Linked DNA regions of Mus musculus. The main gene of each other region encodes a partner of the protein of the gene in region 2 in a complex. Links are inferred from orthologs where the notes say so. Each region holds a gene or a part of one and is shown on either strand. Other genes may lie near its edges. The genes, in order: Ssu72 and Sympk.

Region 1 (4,419 bases), on a different chromosome or scaffold from region 2:
GTGAGTTCCAGGATGAGATTCTTTACAGCCATTGATTTTTGTCATTGTTCTTCTTTAGTCAAGTAGAATCAGAAGATTCTAACTTAAGTGACAACTTCCTTGTGCTGTATAAAAGTCTTTGCACAGGTTCTGGTTACTATTTTAGCATAAATTCCTGGAAATGGCATCACTGAACAAATGGTAGGCATATTTCACATTCTTACAGTTTTTAAGGGTGTTTTCCAGAGTACTGCATATTTATACATTTCCCGTTGCCTCTCAGTCTCAAGAAAGAATCTTTCTTTTTTTTAAACCCCAAAACAGAAAAATAGTAAGTATACTTCAAGAAGGCAATAGGCAGTGGTGGAGCACACCTCTGATCCCAGCGCTTGGAGGCAGAGGCAGATGGATCTTTGAGTTTAAGGTCAGCCTGGACTACTCATTAACCTCACATTTGTTCATTAAACATGAATTAGTATATTTAAATTCAACATGTAAATATGAAAGAGGAAAAAAGAGCAGAGAACTGTGTATTACATTTACAACCCTACCATGGGAAGCTGAGGCAGTAAAGCCAAAACACAAGTTCAACGGGAGCCTGAGCTACAGTGTGAGATGAGCCCAAAAAGGGTGTGGGGTGGGGGAAGGATGCTGGAAGATGGGTCAGTATTGAGGCAGAGCTTGCCACAGGAACCTAAGTTTGAGTCCCAAGACTCAGGAGAGAACCTGTCTAAAAGTAGGTAGATTGAATTACTGAGGATAACACAAACCAAAGTTCTATCTCCAGGTACAAATGTAAAAATACCTAAAACTATTAAGTCCACAGTATCTCAACAAGAGCAGGGTATAGAGTGTTTTTTAGACCTGTAGGTGTATGTGTGTATTGATAACTCACAAAGGCAGGGCATGGCATCATATCCTAGTGATCCTCTCACTGAGGCAAGATGAATTTTAGTTCAAGGATACAATCTGAAGTAGGATATCGACCCCACTTTTTTTTTTTTTTGAGATGGTGTCTTACAGTCCAGGCTAGCTTTATACATTGTAGCGCCTACTGCTTAATTTCAAAGCACATCACCATCTATAAAACAAACAAAACTAAGTAAAGGCTATGCCCTATGTCAATAACCGCTTTAAGGCTCAAACCACCTTTTCACAGGGGTCACCTAAAACCATCAAAAAACATACTTATATTTACACTACAATTCATAAAAGCAGAACTGCATTATAAAGTAGCAACAAAAATAATTTTATTGTTGGGGGGGGTCACTGCAAAATGAGGACTATATTAAATGGTCGCAGCATTAGGAAGGTTGAGAACTACTGGTCTATGTACTAAGCATTACAAAGAATGAAACTTTAGAATTTGAGATAATAGGCAACTAACACTCTGGGTGACTAAGAAAACACAAGACAGTGCTTGGTATGGTGGCAAACTCCTATTAGTAATAACAACACAAGGGAGGCAGGTGAAAAGTGAGTTCAAAACCAGCAGCACACCTCTAATTGCAGTAGCTGCGAGACAGAGGCAGGCAATTCTCTGAGTCTGAGACCGACCAGGTATACAGAGTGAGTTCCAGGACAGCCAGAACTACACAGAGACCCTGTTTTGAGGGTTAAAAAAAAAACAAAAAAAACCCGAAATTGCCAAAAAATAATATTTAAAAAAGTTTTAAAAGTTCACAAACAGTTAACTCTGGGGGAAAAAAGACATTTCTACTGCACTAAGTTGAAATGTACAAACCCCCATTTTAACTGTAATACAATGCATCAGTTTCTCATTTTGTCAAGAGATTTTTTTTTTTAAGATAAAATACTATCAAAGATGAATGCCCTACTAGAAACTGGTGAATTCGTGAAGAAATATGAGGAGGTCCCACTGAACCAAATGAATTCGTGTGCTCCAGAAATTACTGACTAAAGTTATGGGGCTGAGAGGGGTGGTGGCTGGTGCATGAGACTTGCAAACGAAGACAGCAATAAACAGTCCCTGACGTTAACACCTCAGATCACTGTTGTTGCTTCCAGACTCGTTCCATCTTGATGTGACGTGTGGAGAGCTTTCCAAGGTGGCCGGACGACACATATACGGGAAAGATAAACACCAGGCACCCTTCGCAGCACGGAAAGACCTTGGCCTACCCCGTGATACTGCCCGGTCGTCCAGCACCCAGAGGGCCCCAGCTGTCGTGTGGCCACCTCTAGGGTTTACGGGGATGCCTACACTACCGAGGGTGTCGCGCGCACGGACCCCACTGAGGGCTCGCTGAGCGTGGAAGCCGGGCGTGGCCCGACCTCCGCGGCCCAGTCAGTACAGGGTCGGGGTCTGGACAAGAATCTGTGGGAAAGAGGAGGGAGGGGCGGAGGGCAGGTGGAGCTTGCACTACCTGAGGATGTTGTGTGCTTCCATGCTCCGATTCTGGTTACTCGAGCACACCACCGCCACCCGCAGCGGCGATGACGGCATGGCACCGACCGAACTACCCACTGCTCTCGCTACGGAGCTCCCACCTAGAAGCCGGCTTCCGCGCGAGGAAGATGGCGGTAACCGGAAATCTGCGACACGGAAGTGAACGCAACGCAACGCAACGCAACGCGTGGGGAGGCCGACGGTGCTCTCCTGGGCTCGTACTGCAGCCGGCGCGGGAGGGCGACCGGCCGACGCCGAATCAGCCTGAGAGCAGCCGAGGCCGGCGGTCGTGGACCACCTTCGCCGGCGCGTGACGTCACAGGACCTGCGCCGGCAACTGGAGCGGTGTGAGCCGCGCCTGCGTCCTAATGTACCGTCGCCTCGGATGACGCGCTAGGCGCGGCGCTTGCGCAATACTGAAAACTTCAGTGGGACGGGCGTTGGGGCGGGTCCGGGGAGTCTCAAGTCCTTTCCGCGGCTTCTCTTGGTGTGGTTGGGACGTTTTTCATTCCGGTTTCCTCCAGGTGGTCACTCTGCCAATTTCATAGATGCACTGGGCTCCAGCACTTGGTTTGTGCCCTATCTCTATCACGAGTACCTTCCTCAGAGTCACTGGACTTCTAGAAGCACGTCACTTCCTCTGTGAGCCCGTTGCAGCTTAACATGTAAACGATATGAAAAATATGGGTGAGGTAGCGGGCTCTTCAAGTTCGGCCAATCGGAAAACTGGCAGGAAAAATCGCTTCTCTGTTGGAAGCCAGTTTAGGTTGCCTATTGAGAGCTCGATCTCAAGTGAGAGGGGGAGAGAGAAATAGAGTTGCTGCTGGGCGTGGTGCCTCACACTTTTCTTTAATCCTAGAACTCGGTAATCAGGTCGACTTACAGCCGGCCTACCTGCCTGGTGACCTGTCCCCTCTAGCTCGAATGGAATGGTCAAGAAGTGAAGGGGATTAGATAAGTTGTTTGGAGATTCTGAGAACTCCTTTAAAGTTGGAGCAGTATGAGATTGTCAGGGACAAGAAGGTAGATAATGTGTAGTAAGTATAACAAAAGCTGTGTTTTGCCGGGCGGTGGTGGCGCACGCCTTTAATCCCAGCACTTGGGAGGCAGAGACAGGCAAATTTCTGAGTTCGAGGACAGCCTGGTCTACAGAGTGAGTTCCAGGACAGCCAGGGCTACACAGAGAAACCCTGTCTCAAAAAAAAAGCCGTAGATTCAGTAATCTACCCTTTATTCCTATTATTCCTGTATCTTCCTCTTTTCTTTTTCATCCCTTCTCCCTCCTTTATAAAAGTATATTTTATTCGCTTATAGTAATTGTCTCAAAGACTACCTCTACCTGTTTGCCTAGGCCTAGAATCTTCTAGCCTCCATGCAACCTTTTTTTCTTTTAAAGTTTATTTATATATATGAGTACACTATGGCTGTCTTCAGTCACACCAGAAGACGGCATGGGATTCCATTACAGATGATCGTGAGTCACCATTTGGTTGCTGGGAATTAAACTCAGGACCTTTGGGAAAGCAGTCCGTGCTCTTAACTACTGAGCCATCTCTCCAGTCCTATTTTGAAACTAAATTTCCCACTATGAACCTCCTCATTGCTATTGAAGTCTGCCATCATTGTTCCTTGTGTTAATGAGGAGGAGAGTATTGAGAACCTGTTGCGAGTAAGCCCACAGAGACCATCACGTGGACACTCTGAAAGCCAAAAGGAAAGTCTTTATTTTTGCCTGCTAGCTGCACAGAGAACTTGCCCAAATCATGTAACCTTGAGCCTTGCAGCTCTTTGACTTTATGTACAAAGACCATCTTGATTGGCATGCTTCAGTTAGCGAGAAGCAGAACTGTGGAAGTCAAAAAGCAAGATTAGAACATTGAGGAAGTTTTTACTTGGGGACTTATGGACTATGTTTCTATTTAGTCAGGTGTTGAGGCCTATGTGCTGGGCTTTTTCTTTGTTTGGTTTGTTTTGAAGATTTATTTTGTGTGAGAACACTAGCTGTTGAGGCCTATGTGCTGGGTGGTTTT
Region 2 (3,809 bases):
ACGTGAGCTGCTGTCTGTATTCTGAAGGAAGACTGGTCCCTTCTAACAAACAAATCACCTATGAAGTATTGGCTGAGGCGCATTCAGGGCTGCAATTCCATTGGGTGTATGCTGGGGAAATCTGGAGGACACAAGCCATGACAACTAGGCACCCCTAATGATGCCCCATACCATGCCTCCTCAATGAAGCCAATGACAAACTTGCGCACTTCAATGGATTTGTCTGCTTGGAAAGCGATGATCTCCTGTAATGTCAGAGGAAGATGGGTCAGGGCACACGGGAGAGTACCACCTTCCCTTCACCTTATCCCCAGGCTGGTCACTCACATCCAGGAAGTTGTCAAGCAGGGTGGGGTCCTTGTTGATGATCAGCTCTTGGACCTGAGTTGAAGAAAGGAGGAGCAGACATAAACCCAGGCCCCAAAGGCAGGCGTGGTGGTTCTCATAATTCCAGTACAAGGCAGGCTGAGGCAGGACTGTCATGTTCTCAAGGCCGTCTAGACTATGGACTTTATCTAAAACACTAAAAATAAGGGCTAGCAAGATGGCTCAGAGGGTAAAAGACACTTGCCACTCCCACTTGAAGAACTGAATAGCATCTCTGGGAGCCACTTGGTGTAAAGTTGTCCTCTGAGCTCAATGTGCCTGTCCAGATATACAGGAAATAGTGAAAACAAGAATAAGGCCCACAGCTGGCTCGGGGTAAAACACTACCTCCACATGCATGAGGACAGAGCTCAGCTCTCAGAGCACTACCGCAGCCGCAGCTCTTTGGAGGCAAAGACAGACTCCCAGGAACCCGGCTAGCTAGACTAATGGATCAGCAAGCGCTGGATTCTACTGAGAGACCAGAGAGTGACGGAAAAACACATCAGCTTTGGGCCTCTACAAGACTGCATAAACATCTCATACCAAGCAACCAAGCACCTATACCATGTGAACAAGAATACACACCAGACAGCGAAAATAATTGGTTAATTTAAATGCAGGAGTGGGGAGACAGCTCAACAGTTAAGAGACTGGATGCTCTTCCAGAGGAGTAGATTTGGTTCCCAGCACCCAGCTACAACCATCTATAACTCCAGTTCCAGGGGAATCCAATGCCCTTGTCTGGCCTTTGTCAGGGTTGTATGCACATGGTGCACTTACACACATGTAGGCAAAACATAAAAAAGAGAGAATAAACAACAAACCTCAAATAGAAATAAATCCAGATGTAGTCTATGCAGGCAGGAATGGGGAGCAGTCAGCACTGGCGGCTCTGACCCTCCTGACCCTGAATCTCAAAGCTACACTGTTGAGACCCTCACAGATGAAGGCTCTCACAAGCCACGGGGAGGCACACTGTGCTCATTGCAAAGAGGAAAGGAAACAATGACAGGCACAGGTCTGCCAGAGGTCAGAGTGGTCTACAGGTCTGAGGTCTGCTGTGCCATGCAGAAACTCCAGGTGGCGCCTTCGCGCTCTACCCAGTCCTGGATCTTGAGAAACACTGAAGGAGCAGGCTGCACAGCACTGCACTGCACTGCACTCTGGGGCACAGGTTGTGTACAGGTGTGCATGTGCAAGGCATGATGTATGGCACAGGTGTATGTGAGCACAGGCATGTATGAATGCAGCACAGGTGTGCAAGTGTATGTGTACAGGCATGTATGAGTCACACGTGCAGGGACTAACGGTCCTCCCTCAGTGGCTCTGCCCTGGCTTTTGTCCTGCCCTCCCTGTCCCTTACCCCCACCTCACCTGTTTGAGCACTGTGATCTTGGAGTCATTGGTGATCAATGCAGCCTGGTTCAGAAGATCTACCACCTGGAAGGACAGAAGAACCAGGTGTCATGGCTGGTCTTGCTGGCCAGGTCAATCCCTGCAGTCCTCCTGTGCTCTGCTGTCTGGCAGGAGTCACACTTCCCCACTCCCAGCCCTGTGCTACACTCACCCTCTCAGAAGTGGTCATGCCATCGATGCTTGGCCCTTCTTCTTGTGTGAAAAACTGTGATGCCACACTCCGGCGGGTGACACTGTCCCCGCTGCTGCTTGCCATGACTGCTGTCAGGTTCTCCCTGGAAAAGAAGCTAGTGAGTTTCCCTGCAAAGCCCTCGTCCCTCCTCTAGGGTGGGTATGGGGTTTATGTCCATGTACAGGAGATACAGTGCTTCATGTCTACTATGGGGTTTTTTCCTTTAATTCAGGGTTGGGTTGGTCTCTGACTAGGTAGCCAAAGGTGGCCATTAACTCCTAGTCCTTCTGTGCCTTCCAAGAGCTGGAATGAAAGGTGTGCACAGCCACACATGGTTGCAGGCCAGCTAGGGCTGCATAGTCAAGACTCCCCCCTCCCCCCCCATCTCAAAAAAAAAGGCCACCTCTATAACCAGGTGTGGTGCTACATGTCTTTCATCTCAACATTTTCAAGATGCAGGTAGGTAGAAACATCAGGAGTTCAAGGCCAGCCTCAGTTATACAGTGAGTTCAAAACTAGACAGTGCTACATAATACTGTCTCAAAAAGGAAGGAAGGAAGGAAGGAAGGAAGGAAGGAAGGAAGGAAGGAAGGAGAGACTCATTACAATACAGCATCCTTAAGCTATTCCTTCTGTGAAAAGGGAGAAAGAGGAACTACACAATTATCACAAAATCATTCTGACAAAATCATGAAATGACTCATAGACAAGGCACCACATCTGGCATTACTTTTACCAGCAAGCAGCATAATCCAACTAAGTGTTCTTAAATAGGGAGACAGGCTACAAAGACTCTCACATGCTACATGCTAAAGGACTCTTTGTGAGCTTTGTACAGCATGTGCAAGGCCCTGAGGGGCCCAGGCCTGACACTGGGATAAACAAACAAGCCTACAGATGGCACAGCTGTAAGACGGAATTGAGACCCAGACAGGTGCACATACCTGTAGTCTTAACATACTTGGGAGGCAGGAGATTGTGAGGTCTAAGCCAGCTGGGCAGCTAAGACCCTGTTTCCAGAGAGGAGAGAAAGGAACATGGAAAACGTCTATAGTGACAATGCAGGGGTTCTGCGAGGAGCATGAGAGAGAGAGAGAGAGAGAGAGAGAGAGAGAGAGAGAGAGAGAGAGAGAGTTAGAGAGAGAAAATGAATGAATCTATTATATGAAGAAAGGCTGAGGCAGGAGGATTACACTGAGCTGGATACAGTGTGAAGAAGAGAAAAAGGCTAAACTAGGTGTTTTAAAAGATAGAACTGAGGCTGGAGAGTCAGCTCAGCTGGTGAAAGCCACTGGCTGCTCCTCCAGAGAACCTGAGTTTGTTGATCCCCAGCACCCACAGGACAGCTCAAAACTCTAACTCTAGTCCTAGGGGATGTGAGACCCTGGCCTCCACATACACTTGGTGCAGAGACATAAATAGAAGCAATAGTCCATATATGCAAAATAAACATAAAACTTAAATTTAAAAAGCCAGCTTAGATTACTCCTAAATATAAATGGGGCAACTGAAAATCTAGAAGACAATATTGCTGGTAACTAAGGTTTTGTTATCTTTTTTGTTTTGTTTTTGCTCTTTTGTTTTTTCGAGACAAGGCTTCTTTGTGTAACCCTGTTCTAGAATTTGTTCTGTAGACAAGGCTAGCCTTGAACAGAGATTCATCTGCCGAGTGCTTGGAATAAAGGCATGTGCTGCCACCTCTGGTGGAGGTAACTCATTTTAAATGGGATTAACCTATAAACTAAATAGCAACACCCCTGCTAGACATCACATGCAAATAAATAAGTTTATTGCCAGGATCTTTTTCTTTAAAGCTATGGAGTGGAAGTAATTTGGTAGGTCTAAGTGGATT

Evidence for each region.
Region 1: the proteins of Sympk (region 2) and Ssu72 are in contact, whole or in part, in a crystal structure (PDB 4H3K), measured with the Homo sapiens proteins. The link is inferred for Mus musculus from reciprocal best matches to the Homo sapiens genes SYMPK and SSU72. Residues at the interface, in NP_004810.2 of Homo sapiens: Val123, Lys127, Leu131, Gln135, Asp175, Asn176, Asp177, Gly178, Thr181, His182, Lys185, Glu188, Pro204, Arg205, Arg206, Gln207, Ser250, Ile251, Thr254, Thr255, Asn262, Ala290, Ser292, Gln293, Ser295, Ser296, Lys299, Asn300, Leu303, His304; in NP_054907.1 of Homo sapiens: Glu113, Tyr116, Asp117, Val120, Asn124, Glu127, Gln128, Glu129, Thr130, Cys131, Gln132, Pro133, His135, Asp167, Glu169, Asn170, Asp173, Gln177, Glu180, Thr186, Phe187, Leu188, His189, Thr190, Val191, Phe193.

Annotation. Positions count from the first base shown.
Region 1 is NC_000070.6:155,703,409-155,707,827, reverse strand, and holds the start of Ssu72 (RNA polymerase II subunit A C-terminal domain phosphatase SSU72), read right to left. Parts: upstream 3,014-4,419; 5' UTR 2,447-3,013; coding exon 2,367-2,446; intron 1-2,366. UniProt on the Homo sapiens protein: Protein phosphatase that catalyzes the dephosphorylation of the C-terminal domain of RNA polymerase II. Plays a role in RNA processing and termination. Plays a role in pre-mRNA polyadenylation via its interaction with SYMPK.
Region 2 is NC_000073.6:19,027,115-19,030,923, reverse strand, and holds part of Sympk (symplekin), read right to left. Parts: intron 3,028-3,809; exon of another isoform or gene 2,902-3,027; intron 2,061-2,901; 5' UTR 2,042-2,060; coding exon 1,937-2,041; intron 1,810-1,936; coding exon 1,744-1,809; intron 382-1,743; coding exon 328-381; intron 246-327; coding exon 172-245; intron 1-171. UniProt on the Homo sapiens protein: Scaffold protein that functions as a component of a multimolecular complex involved in histone mRNA 3'-end processing. Specific component of the tight junction (TJ) plaque, but might not be an exclusively junctional component. May have a house-keeping rule.